4 linked regions of the Arabidopsis thaliana genome follow. The protein of the gene in region 4 purifies or fractionates together with the protein of the main gene of each other region. This does not show direct contact. Each region holds a gene or a part of one and is shown on either strand. Other genes may lie near its edges. The genes, in order: AT5G37475, AT1G66070, AT5G25754 and AT5G44320.

Region 1 (5,197 bases), 3.0 Mb from region 4:
TATTCGATGACCATCATATACAAAAGGTTGAAAATAAAGAAAATATCATTGATTCATTGTAATGCAATATAAGCTATTCTATATAGAATTCAAATAAATTTTGTTGATTTATTAAAAGTGTCTATGACATTGAGATTGAAAAGAGTATTCTAATAAGGGCTATATTAATATCTATGCTCAGATGATCAGAATATTAAGTATCTATGTATGAAAACTGAGTTATTAATCCTCTGTCTTCCCCAACATAATTTCTGACAAAAAAGCTCCTATAAAACCAAAATATAGTTTATAGCATAGTTTCAACATGCTAAAGATATCTTAGAAGATATCTCCCACTGGCATTAAAAACATAAAGATATTGTAAATCATTATTGATATGTATAGGGTTGTAGGTATGTCGAATATATACGATACTAGTTTCCGTTGGCTTTTAGAAATAATCCTCAAACAATAAACTGCGAGTTTAAATAGAACCTATGTGGTCTCGCTGACTATAAGCAACGTTCTGATAACAAATAGTATCGCGATAATCTCGTATCTGCTAAACATAATGATATTTCCGTTAACTTTATAAAGAAAGTCCACAATCAATAGACTACGAGTTTAAATGGTAACAATGTTAGTCGATATAACTACTAGCAGATAATTAAGATAATAACTACGATGCCACATGTTGTCCCTTTGTGTTTTACAACAAGAATCAAAGCTAGTAACACGTTCTAATAATAACAGAATCATGAAAACCTCTTATTCGCTAAACACGAGCATATTTGTTTGTAGCCTTTTAAAAATAATCCTCAAACAATAGCCTACGAGTTTAAATGGTAACAATGTTAGTCGATTTAACTTCTATCAGATAAGAAAAATAATAACGACGATGCCACAGGTTGTCTCCTTGTGTTTTACAAAAAGAATCAAAACTAATAAACACTTCCTGATAACAACCCGTATCGCGATAAGCTTCTAACCGCTAACATCAGTATCAGGATAATCTCGTTTTGGCCGCTAAAGACTATATCATTTTAGTTAACTTTTTAATTTCTTTTTACAAACAATAGACTACGAGTTTAAATGGTAATAATGTTAGTCGATATAACAACTAGCAGATAATTAAAATAATAACGACAATGCCACATGTTGTCTATTTGTGTTTTAGAACAAGAATCAAAACTAGGAACACGTTCTGATAACATTAGTATCGCGATAACGACGATGCCACATGTTGTCCATTTGTGTTTTACAACAAGAATCAAAACTAGGAACACGTTCTGATAACATTAGTATCGCGATAACCTTTCTTCTTCATATAGGATCGAAAAATATGACTGATCGTTAGGTGGGGAAGAAAAAAAAACATAAAAAAAAATACAACTCCCAAAACAATATCAACATAAAATCTTCTCCTACCGTGTGCAATAATATCTCGCTACAATCTATAATTGACTAAACTGATAATATAGGGGGTAAAAAAAATGTTATCGAGTGATATTTTCCTTCTAATAAAAACTAAGTTTTCAATTTTTTTTTTGTGGTTTAGCTTTTTAGGTTTTTTTGTTTTTGTTCAAGTCTTTGTATTATATCAAAATTGGAAGTCTTATGAAAATCGTTTTACTAATAATATTTATGAAATACATCTGATGATAGTTAAAAATTTATATCATTTTAAAATTATTTTTCTTAATTAATCTAAATTTTTAATTTCGTTAAAAATAAATTCTTATTATTTTTTTTTATTTTGGTCCAAAATGTTTATTAATCTTAGTTATGAATTATATTTAAACAATTGTTCTTTTATGTTTTTTTTTTAACAATTGTTCTTTTATTTATTTTGTTAAGAATATAACACTGACAAAACAAAAGAGAAAATAAAATACCTAAATATAGGTAATTTTAAAAAGTTTAAGCCAATTCAAATTAGGTGATCAAAAAAAGAAGAAGGGAAATAAGTATTTTTAAAAAATATAAATAATTCCACTTAAATGCGAATATTATAGAAAGAGAAGAGAAAAACCTAAAATCCATCTTCGTTGTCGTTTCGTCTGCTTCACATCGGAAAGCTACATCTTTTTCGTTTTTTGTGGTGGCGATTTCTATTCTCCGGCTGAAACCTACCTTCAGGATTCAGCCTTTCTCAGGTACTGTTTCTTCCGTCTCCATTCGCTTCAATTTCACTTGACTGTTGAATTCATCGAATTGAATCCGAGCTGGGCATGCCAATATTTATCAGTACTGATTTTGTGTAAGGTTAGATTTAGGATTTGTGGTGCTTGATGGGTTTTTATTGGTAATTGGGTTGTAGGTTCCTCCTTAAAAGTTGTGTAATTTGTCACTAATTGGGTTTAGATTACACTAATGATCAATCAAACTCTGTTTTGCTATATTCTTTTGTATGATTGATGATGTTTAAAAGCTGAATCCTTTCATGAATCAGGTCGCAAACTCGGTGTTCATAACCTAAGTTTTGGAACGAACAAACTTGTGTTTGCTGGCTTGCTTGAGAATTAACTTGTAATCAGGCTCTATGCTCTTATTTTAGTAGTTCTATTTGCATGTGAAGTACTAGTAGGATCAGAAAGTCTTTCTATAGTAGATTGTTTTATGTTCTTAAGCTGTGAAGCCTTGATCCTAAGAGTAATTGTATCATTGTCTTGGGCTGTTATGAATTCCTGGTATTTGCAAGTTTACTGTGAGTTGTTACACACGTTTTTGTTGCTTGGTCAGACCAGATGACTAACTACTTAAAATCATGAATATCACTATATTGAAAATATCATATTCGATTTTTCATAGGAGTTTTGTTGCATTTTACCTCCAGGATATATAACTAACTAATGTATGATTTACATTTAAGCATCACCAGTGAGAGCCTTTGTTCTGATCTTTGTTCTGATCTTTGTTCTTTCTGATGTTATGTGGCTGCTTGTGCCTTGTGCAGGTTTTCAGTTGGATTCAGATAGCAGCTTGTACTTCTTCTAGATAATCGGCGACACATATGGATGATTGGGGTAAGACTTACATTAAGAATTGTTCAATACACAATACTTTCTTGTTCTCTAGGTGTTGCATTAATCTCTTTGAATATGTAAAAAGTAGTACAGGCTGTATACAGCTATATATATTTTACTATGTTCTCTAAGATGATAGGCTTTATTGTTGTTTTATTGAAGTTTTCATATGGGAAATATATTAGAATTCTCACTTTTAGGTTTTCCTTTCTGATTTCAGAGGCCGAGGACTTTCAACCACTTCCCTCAAAAGTTGAACTGAAAAGTAACTGGGATGATGAGGATGTGGATGAGAATGATATCAAGGACTCGTGGGAGGAGGAAGATGTATCTGCTCCGGTATATTTTTCTTTCATTATATACTTTTAGTCATTGGGTTTTGTTTGTTATTTGTTTTTGAGATTGCGGCTAACAATCTTTGTTTCTCCTGTAGCCACCTATAGTAAAGCCTGCTTCTGAGAAGGCTCCAAAGAAACCAGCAGTAAAAGCTGTTGAAAAGAAGGTTAAAACTGTTGAAGCTCCGAAAGGAACATCAAGGGAAGAACCTCTAGATCCTATTGCTGAGAAACTTCGCATGCAGAGGTAGAGTGTAATAATAGTTCACTTACATATGCTTCTACTGTTGGTTCTGCATTGGTTTGGTTGAATGGGATGAAAAATGTTTTCTAGTAGTGTAAGAAGCATGTCACTGAGGAAGGCCATTGTGCTAATTTTTAATATTCTTCTTATCTTAGGCTTGTAGAGGAAGCTGATTACCAATCAACTGCTGAACTCTTTGGAGTAAAGACTGAAGAGAAAAGCGTCGATATGTTAATTCCGAAGTCTGAAAGCGATTTCTTGGATTATGCTGAGTTGATATCTCAGAGACTTGTACCATTTGAGGTATGCTATTTTCATTTCCTGTTACTTTCTTGTCTTAGCTAACTGTCACTTATTTCTATATGACCAAATATCATATTAAGACCAATTCGTCTGCATTTTAACTATGTCTACTATTTCGCAGAAAAGCTTTCACTATATCGGGCTACTCAAAGCAGTGATGAGACTTTCTGTGGCTAATATGAAAGCAGCAGATGTTAAAGACGTTGCTTCGTCCATTACAGCTATAGCAAATGAAAAATTGAAGGCGGAGAAAGAAGCTGCTGCTGGCAAAAAGAAGTCAGGTACACACAATCAGTCTTTGAATTTTGTTTTATTCTTTGGATTTGATAAGACTTGTGAATTATATGTTTTTAAGCTAAGCAAGCATGTCTCTGTTTCCAAAATGATCAGATTAAAATGTTTTTTTCTTTCTTTCTTTCGTTTCACTGTGTTTACTAGGTAAGAAGAAACAACTTCATGTTGATAAGCCTGATGATGATCTTGTTTCGGGTCCTTATGATGCCATGGACGATGATGATTTCATGTGAGAAAATGGCAATTTTGGAGATTGCATTTTACCTCCTATAGGATTGTAACTGAGAAGAGGTTTAAATCGTCGGCGGTTTTTTGTTTTGTATACTGAATTGCAAAAGTGTTTTTCTTCTGTTTTCTTTGCTCGGTTTGATTTAAAAATTTGTGTAATAAGATTTGTTGTGGGCACACTATTTCCTATTATATGAATTGAACGAGTACTAAGAGCACGGCCTATGATTCACTTAGAATTTGAAGCCACATTAGTAAGATAAGTTTTCGATAATGAACCAGCAAATCTAACACATTACAAGAGATATACACTCGAAGAAGACCTAAACATGTAGTGTGAAGAGTAATCAATACGTAGAGAATCAAATGAACTGGAGAATCTTCGGGGAGTAGCTTGATCAAGTCTTTGGCGTAAAGTGATGCATGTGTCATGGGAGAGAATTGATGAATCTAGTGATGCCCTAAATTGGTTCTCAGTTGTAACAAACTATCGATACAGATAAGAAATAGAGAGATTCATAGTTATTGTTTGAAAATTTAGAAAAGTTAGAAAAGTTAGAAAAGTTTTTGTTTGAAAAATAACCTACCCATTTTTTCTCTTTAAAAACTATTTTCTAAAATAAGAAAGGAATATAAAATTACAAATATATCCTTACTAAAATTTACTAATAATTTTAAAACATTTATATTTAAAACAAAATCAGCTTTTTATTATATTTTTTGTCGATCAAAATAATATATTTTAATTTAAAAATATTTGATGTAACTATTTTTTTCGTCAACTATTT
Region 2 (5,327 bases), on a different chromosome or scaffold from region 4:
GTTCCTTATCGGCGAAGATCGGTGTTTCGGTGGAGGATGTAGCAGCGTTGAGGTCGTTGGATGTTGTTGCGGAGAGGAGGATTGAGAAATTGGCTATGAAAGTTGGAGAGAATTTGTTTAACTTTATGCAGTCTTTTTGTGGTGTTGATGGAAGTAAATTGGTTGTTCCTATGGATATTTTGGATCGTTGGTTTAAGAAGTTTCAGGAGAAAGCTAAACGTGATCCTGATTTCCTCAAAAGCTTTGCTTTGTAAGGTTAGCGTTTTTGTAACATTTGATCTTGTGGTTCTATGTGATGAATTGAACAAGAGATTGTAGTTTTACTTTGTTTGTCAATGTTTATTAACTAGTTGATCATACTCTGCTTTTAAGCAATTTAAAGTGTTGAACTTTATATCTTGTTGGTTTGAGGTAGATGAAAAGGTGAAGATTTAATCTGTCTTGTGTTGAGGAATGAATTTTGATTCTTAGTTTTTGATTAGCTCACTTTGGTATACTGTGTGGTTGAATCCATTTGATCTTGGGTTATATATGATGAATTGGAGGAGAGATTGTAGTTTTACTTAGTTTGCTAGTGAGATAATATGAGGGTTATGAATATTTTGGTTTCAGTGTTCTTCTTGCTTACATATGAATCACAGTTTTAGTAGGTGGAATGGTGGATACTGTTTCGTATCTATTGTTCATAAGTTTATACTCTGCTGTTAGAAATTTAAAGTGATGAACTTTCTCTTGTTGTTTTGAGGATTGAGGTAGATGAAAGGGTTAAGATTAAATCTGTTCATGTTTTTATGATGAATCTAAGACAACATTTTAGTTTACTTAGTTTGCCAATGAGAAAATGTGAGAGATATGCATAATTGCTTTCCATGTTCATATTTTTTTCTTCGGTTAATTTAGTGCAATTCAACAGAGGAAGGTTTGACATTTTTTGGTCTAGTAATATATGATTCAGTATTTGGTCAGAGGATAGTTTAACAGTTTCAGTGTTCTAACTCACATTATAAATCATAGTTTTGGTAAGTGGATGCTGTTTCAGATTCTGGTCATGTTCATAGGCTCAATCAACCTTTGATCTTAGCAATATAAAGTGTTGAGCTTTATATCTTGTTGAATCGAGGTAGATGAAAAGTGAAGATTTAATCCATCTTGTGTTGAGGAATGAATCTTGATTCCTAGTTTTTGAGAAGCTTCAGTTTCTTACAGTGTGTACTGTGTGGTTTTACCCGTTTGATCTTAGGTTCTATATGATAAATGGAAGAAGAGATTGTAGTTTATTATAATTTAATCTTATGTTCTATATTTGTTTTCAACGGTTAATTCAATATTTTGTGAGAACTATATGAGTAGTTGCAAAATATGAATCACATATACATTGAGTGGATACTGTTTCAGATTTGGTCATGGTCATAAGCTCAAATGTAGCTCTTAAGTAATTTAAAGTGATGAACTTTATTTTTGTTGCTTAGAGGTGGATGAAAGGTGATGATTTAACTCAGCTTGTGTGTGAGGAATGAATCTTGAATCTTGAATCTTGATTCTTGTCCACTATATCACAGTAGATCGTTAATACATTGATCTAATCGATTGAAGTTGTTGTTTGATATGGTTCTAGATTGGCTTACCAACGGCTTCAATATTCAATGGACCTAAACAATTTGTAGAGTCAAGAAGCTTACAAATATTCGGGATAATCTGACTTGGATGGACAACTCTAGTTGTCTGATACATACGATGAATCAAAATCAAAGCCTTTAACTTAAACTTCAATCTCGAATACATAAGTATTTTCTACAATCGATTGCACACATGTGAGAATACCCTTCAACCCTCATTTGCAAAAAGTACTTAATACTTGGTCAGCAAATTCAAATCATTGTGCAAAAACTCCAAAAAAAAATGATTAAAAACGGAATAAAAAAATGGAGAGTGTAAGATGGAAAAAGTTACATGTTGGGGCCACGGTGATCGGTTCGACCGTATCAGTCTAACCGAAATTGACCAAACAACTTTGGTCTATACTTTGATCGGTTCGACATGTTGGGGCCACGGTGGAAAGGCTTTATAAAAAGGCATAAAATCTAACGAAAAACAAAAGGAAACACACAAAAGCCCTAAATCTCTTTTTAACCTCTGAAGCAAAAACCACCACATCGGAGATTTCTAATCCAACGAAAACGCTTCAATTTTCTTGCGATTTCTCTTCCTCTGCGAAAAACCCTTTTGGATTCAGACTTTCCTCGGTATGTTTTCTTATCAAAGGGTTTTCCTTTCTCAGTTAAATTCGCTTCTAGATCTTAATTTTCGATTGATTCTCTGGTGGGTTTCTATAGAATTGCTCCAAATTATGATTTTGATTTGATTTGATTTCTTAATGTTGGGTTCTCGAATTCATGGTTAATGATTCAAACTTTATCATCAAAACTTCTCTGTGTGTAGTGTAGATTACTATGACCAATTCGTTACTTTTTCTCTGCTCTTTGTTTGCATGATGATGTTCAAGTTGAATCCTTTTTTTATTGAAACAAGGACTTCTTAAGGTTTTAACCATTTTGATTGATTTCGATTGAGGAATTCATATCGATGTTGCAAATCCATAGGATTGGATTACCAAAATCAGAAGGAAATTATTAGTTATGTGTTTAAGATTCTTGTGTTTTGGGGACTGTTTTTGTTTGGTATCTCTCTAAGAGTTCATGGAACTTGTGTTCAGGTTTAGATAGCTGACATGCCTGTAATAGTTTTAATTGATATAAGATATCTTGTCTTTTGTAAGCATTAGATTTAGCTGTTTTTCCTGGGTGTGAAATATTAGGCCTATGTGTTTTTGTTAGCTGTGAAACCTTGATTTGTAAAGTAATAGTATCAGTATTCTCTGTCTATGATGTGAAGTTAGCAAGCTTACTACAAGTAGTTTAAGCATATTTACACATGGGGATCAGTGTATTTGATTATGTGGATTGAATGATTGATCAGTAATGTAGTTTGATCAAATAAGCGTGTTTCTGATGCTTACGCGTATGTTTGGCAGGTTTACCAGTTGGACTCAGATAGAAGCTTATATCTGTACCTGATAATTTGCAGCAAATATGGATGACTGGGGTAAGACTATGCTTTAAGTGTCCTCTCTTATATTCTCTATTTGTATCTAATTATAGTCTTCTTATTTATTTATAGTATTTGATTGGATATGCAAGCAATTTTGGATTATTTGCTAATCTGATGGGTTTCATATTTGATATTTCAAAATCGTATCACTAGCATGTGAGTAGTCTTATAATTTTTATTTTCTGATTCCAGAGGACGAGAAAATTGCACCACTTCCAGCAAAAGTTGAGCTTAAAAGTAACTGGGATGATGAAGATGTGGATGAGAATGAAATTAAGGATTCATGGGAGGATGATGATGATGAACCTGCTCAGGTATAGCTTAGTTTTTACTCTCTGTAATTCTTTCCCTATTGGCTAGTGGCTACTACGTATAATTTGGTTTGAGATTCCAACGGGAATATTTATGTTTTGTCTGCTTTGCCTTGTTGTTTTTCTGTAGCCGCCTGTTATAAATCCTGCTCCGGAGAAGGCTCCTAAGAAAGCAGCCCCCAAAACTGTTGAAAAGAAGGGTAAAGCAGTCGAAGTTCCAAAGGAAGCACCAAAAGAAAAACCTCTAGATCCTATAGCGGAGAAACTTCGCCAGCAGAGGTACAGTTTGTAAATAATATCTTTCCCACACATAATAATTCACTTTAATCTTTTGTACTTTGTGTATGGAAGAAGGCTGTGAAGGTCTATGTGACCTTATATGTTATATTCTTTCTATCACAGGCTTGTTGAGGAAGCCGACTACCGGGCAACTGCTGAGCTCTTTGGAGTGAAGGATGATGACAAAAACCTTGATATGTTTATCCCCAAGTCTGAAAGCGATTTTTTGGAATATGCTGAAATGATTTCTCATAGGATTAAACCATATGAGGTATGTTGTATTCTGCCTTATATACCTTTATTCTCATTGGCTAGTATTGAAGCTCATGATGTGTGAAAATATAGTTTGGTTTCTGTTGCAGAAAAGTTATCACTATATAGCGCTGCTCAAAACAATCATGAGACTTTCATTGACCAACATGAAAGCAGCTGATGTTAAAGATGTTGCTTCGTCCATTACAACGATAGCAAATGAAAAACTAAAGGCAGAGAAAGAAGCTGCTGCGGGAAAAAAGAAAGGTATTATTCTGAATGTGTTACTCACAATCACTTCATCTTTGGTTTATAGTTTTATGAATGTGTTATTCTGAATCCGTTTTTCATGACCATTGGCATTGCTTGATCAGGTGGAAAGAAGAAACAACTTATTGTAGATAAGGCCAATGACGATCTAGTGGCTGGTCCTTATGATGCCATGGATGACTTCGACTTCATGTAGATTAAAAGAGCTTTTTGAGCAAATGCAAATTGGATTTGTCCAGCGTCTATTTTATCATTTATCTATCACTCAAAAGAAACACATTTTTCTTAATTTTGGTTTGAATAGAGCAAGAAGAGCCAAATTTCTGGTTGCGGAAATATATAGTTGGAACATGGGAAGCTTTTGTTTTGGTTTGGTCTGGGAATTCTCTAGAGTCATGTTTTTGGTTCTATTTGTTGGTTGAAAAAGCTATACTTAAAGTGTCCGTATAAATTTATTATTGACATTGATCTGATTAAATCTCTTTGGGGGTTGAATTTCTTATAGACATGAGTGCGTTTCATGTTGTCCAATCTTTAAATACTGCCTCTTGAGTAAGAGAGAAAATGTTGATTCGTTACAATTCGCTAATGTTAGTAGTAAACCTTGAAACACGCTAATATCATCATGACTTTACATTAGCTAATAACATAAAGATGTGAATGGGAATGACATAAAGAATTCATGGGAGGATGATGATGAGTTTTTAACTAAGGAACTCTAATTCCTTACTAGTTAATTTCCAACAACAACACAGTGACTGTATTGTTTAATCTTCTTAATTGGTGGTTGAGTTGCTTCTTCTTCTTCTTCGGACTCTGTGTTGTTTCCTCCGGAAGACATTGTGTCAACAACTTCAGCCTCTTCCACATTCTCTTTTAGGAGAAAGATTAGTGGGATTGATTAAAGAAAGTAATCATATGAATTGATTGATATAATTCTCTGTAATGTAGACTCTTAAATATGTTACAATATCTACTCTCTAAGATATTCTTTTTATAAGAATCTTTTAAAACTTCAAGAAGATTCATTTAATGATTTCCAGTAATGGTGAAGAAAAATATCCAACTAAAAACAAAAAAAAGCAGAAAAATATCCTATCCTATCAT
Region 3 (6,462 bases), 8.9 Mb from region 4:
TTCTTCAGTTTTTTTACAAGGATATTTTGTCAATCTATCAATCGTTTCATCTACCTTGCATTCACTGGACAGCTAGTATGTTCCTTACACGAAAAGTTTTGTCTCGTCATTTTTACGAGGACTTTTTAACGTCTTGATCCATAGATGCCGAAGGAAATTTGCTGAGAAGCCAAACTAAAACAACCCCAACAAGAGCACCAGAGAGATGCGCAATGTGATTAACAGTTTGTAAAGAGTATCCACCATATATAGTTCCTGATAATCCAGCCGACGCCTGAGCTGCTTCCATTACCTATTCAGATCAATTAACTAAACAGTTATCGTCCCTGAATTCGAAGAGCTTCTATATTGCATACATCATCAGACATTTTCTCTCATATATTGTATAAAAACCTCATTATACTCATAAGAAGATGGGACTGTAAGCCGGAATACGGTTATAACGGTAGTGATGCTGTGAGTAAATTTTGAGAAAATCTTACCCTCTCAATAACGAACTGACCCAATATAAGAACTTCAAGGATTTTCCTCCAATCCCAAGACATCTAGACAATCAAAAGAAGTTGAATATTAGCAAGATATTACTGAGGAGTTTGATTTACAAGGAGAGAAGAAAACTACAGTACCTTGACGAGGACACTGATAGCAAATAACCCAAAAACAGCTCCCGAGGCACCAACAGAAACAGCATTTCTCGGTAAAACTAACCAAGAAACAAGGTTAGCTCCAACACCAGTGAACAAGTAGGAGAGCCACAAACCAAAGTTTCCTTCTTCTTCTTCAACAAGCTTTCCTGATTCCCAAATGTGTCCATTAGCTCTCTGAATCGATAAACTAGCTAGAAATTCAAACTATGAGAAAATCTTGAACTCTCACCAAATATGTACAAGAAAAAAAGATTGCTGGAGAGATGGTTCCTAGAATCATACATGATACATAAAAAAAAAACCAAGAATCAGGAGAAACATCAACATAAGCCACAGAGAAAAAAACTATCATAAGTGTTGTTCGTTTGGTAGTCACAGGATGCCTGCGACTGCGACTGAAAGTTGATCGTTTGACAGTCGCAAGATCCTGCAACTAATCGCGCGATCAATCGCTGCGGCTTGCGACTGAATTTTTTGATCGCATGAAAAAAGAGCGACGCGGCTTTTTAAATGGCGATTAATCGCAGCGATTGGTAAACGAACAACATCCTGCGATTTTAAAATCGCAATCGCAATCGCAGCCACAGCCACAGCCGCTAGCGATTATGAAACGAACAGTGCCAAAGTAAAAAAGAAAGAAGAGAGCTCTCTCACCAGTTAGCATGACAGAATGTAGCCGTCACAAACTGATACCATGCCGGAAAATTGTGATACAAATACAAAGATTTGATCCCACGAACCTAAATCGAATAAACAATATAAAACGTATGATAAGATAAGCACGTCACAATCCAAAGAGATGGGATTACACGAATAACGTTTTACAGTGTAGATGATTGATATCTAAAGACAAGCTTTCATACCTGAAAGAAGTGATCAGCAAGATATATGCCCAGATTGATAAGTATGATCCAAAATATGCCATTTGCTCGCTTTTGTGGTTTTCGATTGTCTTTTGCTTTATCCAATTCAAATTGTGGCGTAATATCTGCAAAACTTACAATGATTTCGTTGAAGATGAAGAAGATGTTGCTAAGAATCTAATACAATCACTTGGAATGTTTCATTAGATCGAAAAAAAGAAAGAAAAAACGATAAGTCTCACCGGATTGGCTGAATCTGCAAGTTATTTGAGATCTAGAGACTGTGAGAGGACGAAACTGCAGGGGGGGTTGAGTTGAGTTAGTTGGCGACGAAGCTGCACGTCGGCGATGTAAAGGCGGGAATCTGAAACGAAGAGATGATTGTGGAAGAGAGAGACGGTGAAGGTGAAGAAGCTGAGACATTGAGATTTGAGAGAGAGTCAGAGTACACAAAATTAATTTCGATTCAGTTTTGGTCTAATTCGGTAAAATAGATAAACAACCGAAAAATAAATCGAGATATAAACAAACCGGTGGTAATCGTTCATTTAGTAGTAAAAGCAAACCGGAGGATAGACCCGGTGGTAATAAGGAAACCCTAGGCGGTGGAAGTGAGTTGAAGAGTTAACATTGTTGCGGCCGCTAAGAATTGATCCGGCGAGAATGGCGAGCAGCAATGAGTACGAGGAAGGTCCAGGGGAGAGGGAGAGTGGGTACGACCCGAATATGGTGCCGGATTCGGTGAAATCGTTCGTGTCACACATGTACAGACACATAAGGGACAAGAACGTGTACGAGATCCACCAGATGTGTGAGACATCGTTCCAGAGCATATCGGAGCGTCTGTTCAAGGACACGCCGTGGCCAAGTGTGGAAGCGATTGCTCCTTACGTAGACAACGACCATGTGTTCTGTCTTCTGTACCGTGAGATGTGGTTTCGACATTTGTATGCGAGGTTGTCTCCGACGTTGAAGCAGAGGATTGATTCTTATGACAACTATTGCAGCCTCTTTCAGGTCTGTTGTGGAATTCTTCTACTTCTTCTTCCTTGTTAGATAGAGATGTTGTTGATTTTGATTTCTTTTGTGTATGTATTGGCTGGGAATAAATACAAGTAAGTAGACCTTCTTCCGTTTGTTCTTTCTAGGTTGTGTTGCACGGCGTAGTGAATATGCAGTTGCCGAACCAGTGGTTGTGGGATATGGTGGATGAGTTTGTCTACCAGTTCCAAAGTTTCTGTCAATTCAGAGCAAAGCTCAAGAACAAAACAGAGGAGGAGATTGCATTGCTCAGACAGCACGATAAGGCCTGGAATGTCTATGGCGTGCTCAACTTCTTGCAAGCACTTGTGGAGAAGTCTTGTATCATCCAGATCCTTGAGCATGACAAGGATGGCCTTGAGTTCACTGAGACTGATGGCTACGATTTCAGCGGTGGCAGCAACGTCTTGAAGGTCCTCGGTTACTTCAGCATGGTCGGTCTCTTGCGTGTTCACTGCCTCCTCGGTGACTACCACACTGCTCTCAAATGGTTGCAGCCCATTGACATCACTCAGCCAGGTGTTTACACCAGTGTCATTGGTTGCCATATCGCTACTATCTACCACTATGGATTTGCCACCCTTATGTTGCGGAGGTATGTCGATGCTGTTCGTGAGTTCAACAAGATTCTCCTCTACATTTTCAAGACTAAGCAGTACCATCAAAAGTCACCTCAGTACGAGCAATTACTCAAGAAGAATGAGCAGATGTACGCTTTGCTTGCTCTCTCCCTCTCCCTCTGCCCTCAAACTAAACTCGTTGACGAGTCTGTCAACTCTCAGCTGCGAGACAAGTATGGTGAAAAGATGATGAGGATGCTGAGGTCTGACGACGAGGCCTTTGGTATTTATGATGAGCTCTTCTCTTACGCATGCCCCAAGTTTATCACCCCTTCCGCACCACCAACTTTCGAGGAACCTCTTGTCAATTACAATCAGGATGCATACAGGCTTCAGCTGAAGATGTTCCTTTACGAGGTAAAGCAGCAGCAGCTCTTGTCGGGAGTGCGGACTTTCCTGAAAGTCTACTCCTCCATTTCTCTTGCTAAGCTCGCAAACTACATGGAAGTTGATGAGCCCACTCTAAGGTCAGGGACTAACTATGGGCATTCTTATAACTATTATTACCAAATCTACTTCTCTCTTTTTCTTTGACATGTACGGGGTTTTAATTTGCAGGACCATATTGTTAACATACAAGCACAAGACCCATTCAGTTGATTCCGATGGTAGGATCATCTCCAATGCAGACATTGATTTCTTCATCAACAACGTATGTTCTTTCTTCTCTCTCTGTCTTTCTGATATCGATACTCTGGTGCTTTTACAACGTTTGTAACAACTCTAAACCTGGTGACACTGCAGGACATGATCTACGTTGTCGAATCAAAACCCGCAAAACGTTATGGTGATTTCTTCTTGCGGCAGATTGCCAAGGTATGTTGTATAAACTGAAACTAAGACTCGTGCACATCAACTCTTGTTTTGATTTTTGGGTCTTTTTCTTTTTTTCCTCCATTGCGCAGCTTGAAGGTGTGATCAACGACATGGATCGTGTCAAGCTGGAATGACGACTTTTCTGTGTTATACCTAATCATCAATGCCCAATCTGATATGATGCTTTCTCTTATAAACCATATGTTTACTTAAAGCCAAACACTTTTTTGAGTAGCTGTCTTCATGTGGTCAAATGATAACCATAAATCATCTTTCTTATGGATTATTGCTAGTTTTTTTTATTGAGTATGGCACTGAAGATTATAACCAATCTCGAGTTTCTTTCGAATTGCTAGTTCAAAAACATTGAAAGTATTCAAGGTTATGAAAATTTTAAGTCACCACTACTTGCCAACAGAATGGTTTTAAAGTCAAAGTAGAATAAATTGCTATTTGACTTTTATGTATCATAGTAACTACAGGTCTGTTCTTCGTTCTTGCTGATTACAGAATACACAGGAGTTAATCTTTTTCATCATCTTCCAAAACTATTCGACGTATACATGGTGATAAGTATCAAGCCACCAAACTCTGATTAACTTATCGCCGATCAATGTACAAACCAAAGGAGACGCCTAACATATCATCTTGGTTAGCTCATCATCTACCATTCTCACGCAGAAGCTTCTACATCAATCAGCATAAAGAATCTCTAAACAATGAGATCATCTATATAAGCAGCAATCCCCACTTGCATCTATTGCAGATATTATTCTTTTTCTTCTAGCATCTCGTCACACGTGCATATTTCTCCCGCACATGTGCTCTCTTATCACATGGTTCCCCTGCTGGATTGCTTCACCTTCAAGTCATACGAATACGTTGTTTTCTTTTGAAACGTTGCGGCAACAAAGCAACCGTACGCTTGTGTCTCCCGGGGATGTCTTCGAGCTTGGTGATAATAGGTTTTTAGGGTATCAATTCCTAAAACACTATCATATCGTTGTAATACTTAAGGTTGTCAATCCAATCTGGTGTGATGCAAACAGATGAGATATAATCAGAATTTACTAAGTCAAGCCAAGCAGAGAGTTGTCAGTTTCTAATAATCTTAATGTCGATTAACATAAATGAAATGAAACTAAAATGTGAAATGGCAATAGCAAGTAGATGAATAACAAAGCAGATGAGATAACAGACAATCAAATGGATAAAAGATTCCTAAGGATGAAGTAATCGAATAGCGTGATCTCCTTAATCTATTAAGATGGTTGATAAAACTTCACATAAGTTATCCCTACAACAAGTTCAGTAACAGATTAATTCACTACCGTGATAGAAATCCTCAAGTAAAGCTAGACACTGACCTAATCACCATTAGCGATCTCTAACTAAGCAGGCAATATCAAATCAACTTGTTAAAGCCAATACACGCTCTAAATGGCAATTGCCTTGGGATATAGACGAGTATCACTGCAATTAGTAGATCCGACATTCCATCGAACACTTTTTGAGTGCGGGAATGTCATGATTCATGTTCGAGTTGATCAGAAAGAAACAAGCAATAAGCGCAACTAATCCAGAAGAGATTCAAATATTCTAGACTCAACCAATGAAATTGGACATGGTGGATTTGGTAAAAGTCTATAAGGACCGTTAATATTGAGATTTTGAAATGTGAAAAAGTAACCGTCAATATTGAAAAAGACGATAAGATTCGGATTGAGATTTTGTCAAAAATAGTTTGATTCGTGAAAGATTTAAATTCGAACGCAAATTGTTTACCGGCCAATTTAAAATATTTTTGATTTTCATTAATTTTTATGTTAAATTTTAAAATAGAATAATTATAATAAAAATAAAATTTTAAATTTCTAGACACCATAAACAAATATGTTAATAAAATTATTTTTATCCAAAATTATAAAACTAATGTCATATAATCTAAAGATTAATAATCAATTGAGATGGTAAAGTAAAATTGGAATTTTATTTTTGTTGTGGGATCGAAAATAACAACATTTAATTATTTGGGTATTAAATTGCACATTTTTATTACTTTATTTTTTCCCAACCCAAAATTGGGAATTAAACGTCCAAATAAAAATTAGTTAAAATTTTTTTTGGGTTTTTTCCCTTTTAGAAAAGGTTTTTTTACCCCATTTTTATTCGAGATGCTTGACAATTTCATAATTGTTTAATTATTTATATATGTCAAAGTTTTCTAAAGAAGGAAAAAAATCAGAAATGCTATTAGAACATATTAGAGCAAAATATGTAAAAAAAATTGAAAGAACAAGAGCAATTAAGGGGGAAAAAACAAAAATATAATTGCATATTGTGGAATTAAGGAAATGAAAAGGAATGGAATTTAATTTAGATCATGAGATGTGTCAAATAATACTTATCATATTAGTTTTTTTTTACTAATATTTCGATCCACATGTGAACATGTGAGAGCAAAACATTATTTTA
Region 4 (4,718 bases):
GTTCGCGATAACTTGGAAGTATCCAAGCGTGGTTTTAGAAGGAGATGATTCCGTTGGAGAGTTTTAATCCGTATCATTGACTAATAACTACCAGCAAGCTGATACATGGACCAATCCAGAGCTGAGAACGCTAGAAATACTTCGACTTGTGACTCGATGCTTATTGGTGACAATGCAGCCGCTAATACATATCCTTACATACAGGTACTTTGTATATGATCATCTAACCTTTTATTATAAGGTTATGATAAAAGCACCTCTAATGAAGATCTTATAACAGGTAAAGAATCCATCGGCGAGAATAGAGCATGAAGCAAGTACTTCAAAGATTGGAGAAGATCAGATTTTCTATTTTCAACAGAGAGGTATCGATCATGAGAGAGCATTAGCGGCAATGATCTCTGGATTTTGCAGAGATGTTTTCAACAAGTTGCCTAATGAATTTGGAGCCGAAGTTAACCAGCTTTTGAGCATTAAGCTTGAAGGATCAGTGGGTTAAACAAATCTCACAATTACTTAACATTAAAGAAAGCTTTACTTGTGCCCAACAAACTGCTAACAATTTTAGGCTTTCAATAATTAATTTTGGCTTGAGAAAACTGATATATAAACACTTGAGAAAAAGCATATTCTCGATCAGAAAAGAGTCTCACGAATAATCAAAGATGCTACTGTTCTCTAATGCCGGAATATCAATGACCAAGCACCTACCACAGTGATGACCTTTTAAGTTCAAAGAGTTAATTCAAAAACAACCAAGAAAGCATGAACCAACATTTTGGAACATAAATAGTCTATGAAAAAGTGAACAAGCTTTCGAACATTTTTTAAAAGTAACTCAAAACAACACGACTTGAAATATACCCATATCATCAAAATCAGGCTTCAACTTCGGATTTCTTATCCTCTACAGCTACATTAGTAGAGGAAACCCCATTAGTCTCTGCTCCTGCATCAGTGTTCTCCTCAGGTGGCTGAACCTGTTCATCTTCAGGGAGTGGCTCCTCCACATAATCATTGTCAAATGCATCAGCCGGAACTTCGTAAATCCTAACTTGAGGCTTCGATGGATCCTTCACTAGAACATACTTTCCTTCACTTAACTTCATACACAGATCAACAATCGACTTCACAATTCCCCACATATTGTTAGTGTTCAGATTGATCTGCCCAGCGAAATCTTTCGGCTTATACCCCAAAACCGATAATATAACATGGTTAAAATGATCACGAGGATGAACCCTCGAAACAAACCCAATCTTCATCATATCCGCATTAGCCAAGAGAGCCTGCGCAGTCCATTTAGCTAACTTATTACCATTGTTCTTCAACTCATTAGCTAAAACCGCACCTCTCTGAGTCTCAAGCTTCTGTCTCCAATCAACACCAGAGTACTTAGGATCAAACTCGTTAAGAGCATTCAAAGTTAAAAACGATCTCTGGTTATTCAAATCAACAGTGCTCTGTAACTCACACCTAGCAACTAGATACATACTATCATCAAGCTTCCATCTCCTATACCTATAAGCAATAGAAGCATTCTCTTCACCTTCATTAACATTAGGAATTGGCTCATCAAAAGTTTCCCTTTTCCCATTCTTAACCAAAACCTGCTGAGCAAAATTCTGATTAATATAAGCAGCCTCCAGACCTAGAGAATGAGCAGAGTTAATATCATCTTTACCCTCAGGCAAAGGCTCTTGAGAAGTCTCATGAACAGATAACAAATCAAGCGGTGACCCATCTCTCTTATCAAAGAAAAGCTTATTCCCAACACGTTGAATCACAAGATCCCATGAATAAACCGATCTAGGAGCACACATAAGAGCAGCTAGAATAGCATCAGTAGCAAAAACAGTAGCTTTATCTTCTTTAGCAAGACGTCTGATCACAAGATCATCACTTGTAGTAACCTTAAAGCTTCTGTTCTTGAAACGCTCAAGTCTACGATCAGCTTTAGGAGTAATACGATCAAAACTCCGATCATAAGACTCAAGTCCACCACAAAGAAGAAGATCTTCAGGTTCAGAAACTGTAAACGAAAGCTTAGAGAAAGTCGAAAACGGAATCTGCTCAAGCATATTCCATTCCGGTTGAATATCAACTGATGATTTAAACGCGGCGGCTTCACGGCGTTGCTGATGAATATTGTTACGATTGTTATTGTAGAGACGATCACGACGAGCTCGATCTTTCTCAGCTTCACGTTTCTTAGCTTCAACTTCTTCATCACGACGTTGAGGAAGCTGATTTCGGTTATGGTATTGATTGAATCTCCATTTAGGTCCGAATTTAGGACGCGGCGGTGGTTTTCCGTCGACTAATCGGAAAGCGGCGTCTTCGTCGGCGTTTCCACCTGAGTTTGTTAGACCAAATCCTTCATCTACTGCAAAAGCTGAGAAATCGAAGATCGCTGATGGATCTGATTTGGATCCGGTGTGAGGACGAGCTGATGGATTTGAGAGAGCTCGAGTCCAATCAGCAACGCGTCCGAGTTTTTCGGATCGTGAGAAGGAAGCGAAGGGGACGTTTGGGAGGAGATTCGCCGCCGCGACGCTGGTGGAGGAAGTGTCGGAAGCATCTGGTGGTCCCCAACCATCGGAATTGAATGGGACTGTGCCGACTTCGAATGCTTCAAACACCATTGTTGAGATTTGCGAAGAAGATGTGCGCAAGTGAAAAATTTGTATTTTATTTTGTCAACAATGAAAACCCTAGCCCTTAATGGGCCTCAATGGGCTTTTCTCTTGTCATAAGAAACTCTAGCCCTTTTAAGCCCATTATTATCTCACTCAGTCAAAAGGACGTCGGTTTAAGCTAACCAATGCTTTTGGTTTGGGCTATATTCTCTCAATCGAAATTTTGGGTTATATTCAACCGTACATTTATTAAGGAATTAAGAAACCGGCTTAGAACCGGTTCATGATCTGTTAACCAATAACTGAACGTTGCACTTCAATTCAAAAGTTTACGAATTTGTACTCGTCGCAAAACTTATTTTATTTAGATCCTTGTTTTTATATCCATGTCTCACTTCTTTCCCCTAAGTTTTTCATTGGTTACTTAAGGTCCAACTATATAAAGACTTTTTTACTCTCTTCTCTTCTTCAGAGAAAATTCAAAAAGAATCTCCAATTTTCTCGGGAAAATTTCTCCATTAGTCTCTTCTCTTTTCCGGCTTGGAATCGCTTTGCTTCTTAATCTTTAACAAACACGTTCCATAGAACCCCAAAAATTTGATCATCGGAAACATTTTCTCGGGGAAGTAAAGAAGATTTTCCCGAGAAAAGAAGATTCTCACTATGCGGCGTCGTGAGAGCCGTGGTGCTAAGGGAGGAGGTTTCTTGACTCCACCACCGTCATGGCACACGACGAGAAGAGTTTACATTGCGATGCCGATTTCGGAGAGGAAAAGATCACCTTTGATCGAGAATCAAGAATCGTTTAGGGTTCGTACTGGTGATTCTCCTTACGTCAGAGCCAAACATGCTCAGGTAATATCAATATAGGGTTTTTAGTGAATTGTATTGGTTTATGTGTATGAACGTTTGTTCTTGACATGGAATTGTTTTCAATAACAGTTGGTTTCTAAAGACCCGAATCGAGCTATCTCGTTGTTTTGGGCGGCGATTAATGCTGGAGATAGAGTTGATAGTGCATTGAAGGACATGGTAGTTGTTTTAAAACAGTTGAACCGATTCGATGAAGGAATCGAAGCTATCAAGTCTTTTCGATATCTCTGCCCTTTTGAATCTCAAGATTCTATTGATAACTTGTTACTTGAACTCTACATGGTAAAACTTTCTCAGTATGACTAATTGTGAAGCTATTTCTATGCTCAGTATGTGATTTTGATGGATTTTGGTTTTGCAGAAGTCTGGGAGGATTACAGAGGTCGCTGAGCTGCTTGAACACAAACTGAGAACACTTGAACAAGACAAACATTATGGTGGCAGGATCAAAATAGCGAAAAGAAGCCATGAGGAGCAGAATAACAAGACAATCGAGCAAGAGAAAGCACGGCAAGACAATCTCCCATCTCCGCTTTATACCTGAAAGAGTAGTTTCTCTGACTTTCTTGGTGTTTGGATATGTAGGATTCTAGGGAACTTAGCTTGGGTTCACTTACAGCTTCATAACTATGGAATTGCAGAGCAGTATTACAGGTTTGTGAAACACCATCAATCCCATTAAGAATGTTAGTTTTATCATTGCCTTAACAAGTGAAATGGGTTTTACTGTGATAGGAATGCTTTGTCTTTGGAACCTGACAATAACAAGTTGTGCAATCTTGCAATCTGTTTGATACGTATGGAAAGAACCCATGAAGCTAAATCTCTGCTTGAGGATGTAAAACAGTCTCTAGGGAATCAATGGAAGAATGAACCGTTTTGCAAGTCTTTTGAACGGGCTACTGAGATGTTAGCAGAAAGAGAACAAGCAACAGTAGCGGATAAACCAGAAGATTTGCTGACAAGTAGCTTTTCAGATAACTTCTCTTCGAGATGTTCAGGTGGGATGAAAGGAAAGAAGGCTCTAGCTGGAACTAGCACTGAACTGGGTAATATTCACAAGACAAACTCGCATGCTTCCTCTGAATCGGTTGAACAAAACTCACCAGGTCTGACTACACAACCCCGGGAATGTAAATGGGTAGATGAGGAAGTAGATCAGAGTAAATGGGATGCGACAATTGGTGCTTCTCGAAAGCTCAGGTT

What was found.
Region 1: the proteins of AT5G44320 (region 4) and AT5G37475 fractionate together in Arabidopsis thaliana (co-fractionation; one large-scale study listed by BioGRID). This does not show direct contact.
Region 2: the proteins of AT5G44320 (region 4) and AT1G66070 fractionate together in Arabidopsis thaliana (co-fractionation; one large-scale study listed by BioGRID). This does not show direct contact.
Region 3: the proteins of AT5G44320 (region 4) and AT5G25754 fractionate together in Arabidopsis thaliana (co-fractionation; one large-scale study listed by BioGRID). This does not show direct contact.

The regions. Positions count from the first base shown.
Region 1 is NC_003076.8:14,865,545-14,870,741, reverse strand, and holds AT5G37475 (Translation initiation factor eIF3 subunit), read left to right. Parts: upstream 1-1,966; 5' UTR 1,967-2,135; exon of another isoform or gene 2,136-2,935; 5' UTR 2,936-2,992; coding exon 2,993-3,005; intron 3,006-3,225; coding exon 3,226-3,344; intron 3,345-3,438; coding exon 3,439-3,587; intron 3,588-3,739; coding exon 3,740-3,887; intron 3,888-4,008; coding exon 4,009-4,168; intron 4,169-4,325; coding exon 4,326-4,414; 3' UTR 4,415-4,685; downstream 4,686-5,197.
Region 2 is NC_003070.9:24,595,283-24,600,609, reverse strand, and holds AT1G66070 (Translation initiation factor eIF3 subunit), read left to right. Parts: upstream 1-1,978; 5' UTR 1,979-2,243; intron 2,244-3,031; 5' UTR 3,032-3,089; coding exon 3,090-3,102; intron 3,103-3,300; coding exon 3,301-3,422; intron 3,423-3,549; coding exon 3,550-3,698; intron 3,699-3,821; coding exon 3,822-3,969; intron 3,970-4,060; coding exon 4,061-4,217; intron 4,218-4,324; coding exon 4,325-4,416; 3' UTR 4,417-4,801; downstream 4,802-5,327. Other genes in the region: AT1G66080 (hikeshi-like protein), read left to right, coding at 1-254.
Region 3 is NC_003076.8:8,951,391-8,957,852, forward strand, and holds AT5G25754 (RNA polymerase I-associated factor PAF67), read left to right. Parts: upstream 1-1,984; 5' UTR 1,985-2,173; coding exon 2,174-2,527; intron 2,528-2,658; coding exon 2,659-3,638; intron 3,639-3,729; coding exon 3,730-3,823; intron 3,824-3,915; coding exon 3,916-3,987; intron 3,988-4,076; coding exon 4,077-4,121; 3' UTR 4,122-5,949; downstream 5,950-6,462.
Region 4 is NC_003076.8:17,854,023-17,858,740, forward strand, and holds AT5G44320 (Eukaryotic translation initiation factor 3 subunit 7 (eIF-3)), read right to left. Parts: upstream 2,719-4,718; 5' UTR 2,646-2,718; coding exon 879-2,645; 3' UTR 525-878; downstream 1-524. Other genes in the region: ABCI9 (Stabilizer of iron transporter SufD superfamily protein), read left to right, coding at 1-60, 120-204, 281-499; AT5G44330 (Tetratricopeptide repeat (TPR)-like superfamily protein), read left to right, coding at 3,303-3,494, 3,582-3,794, 3,874-4,022, 4,098-4,166, 4,248-4,718.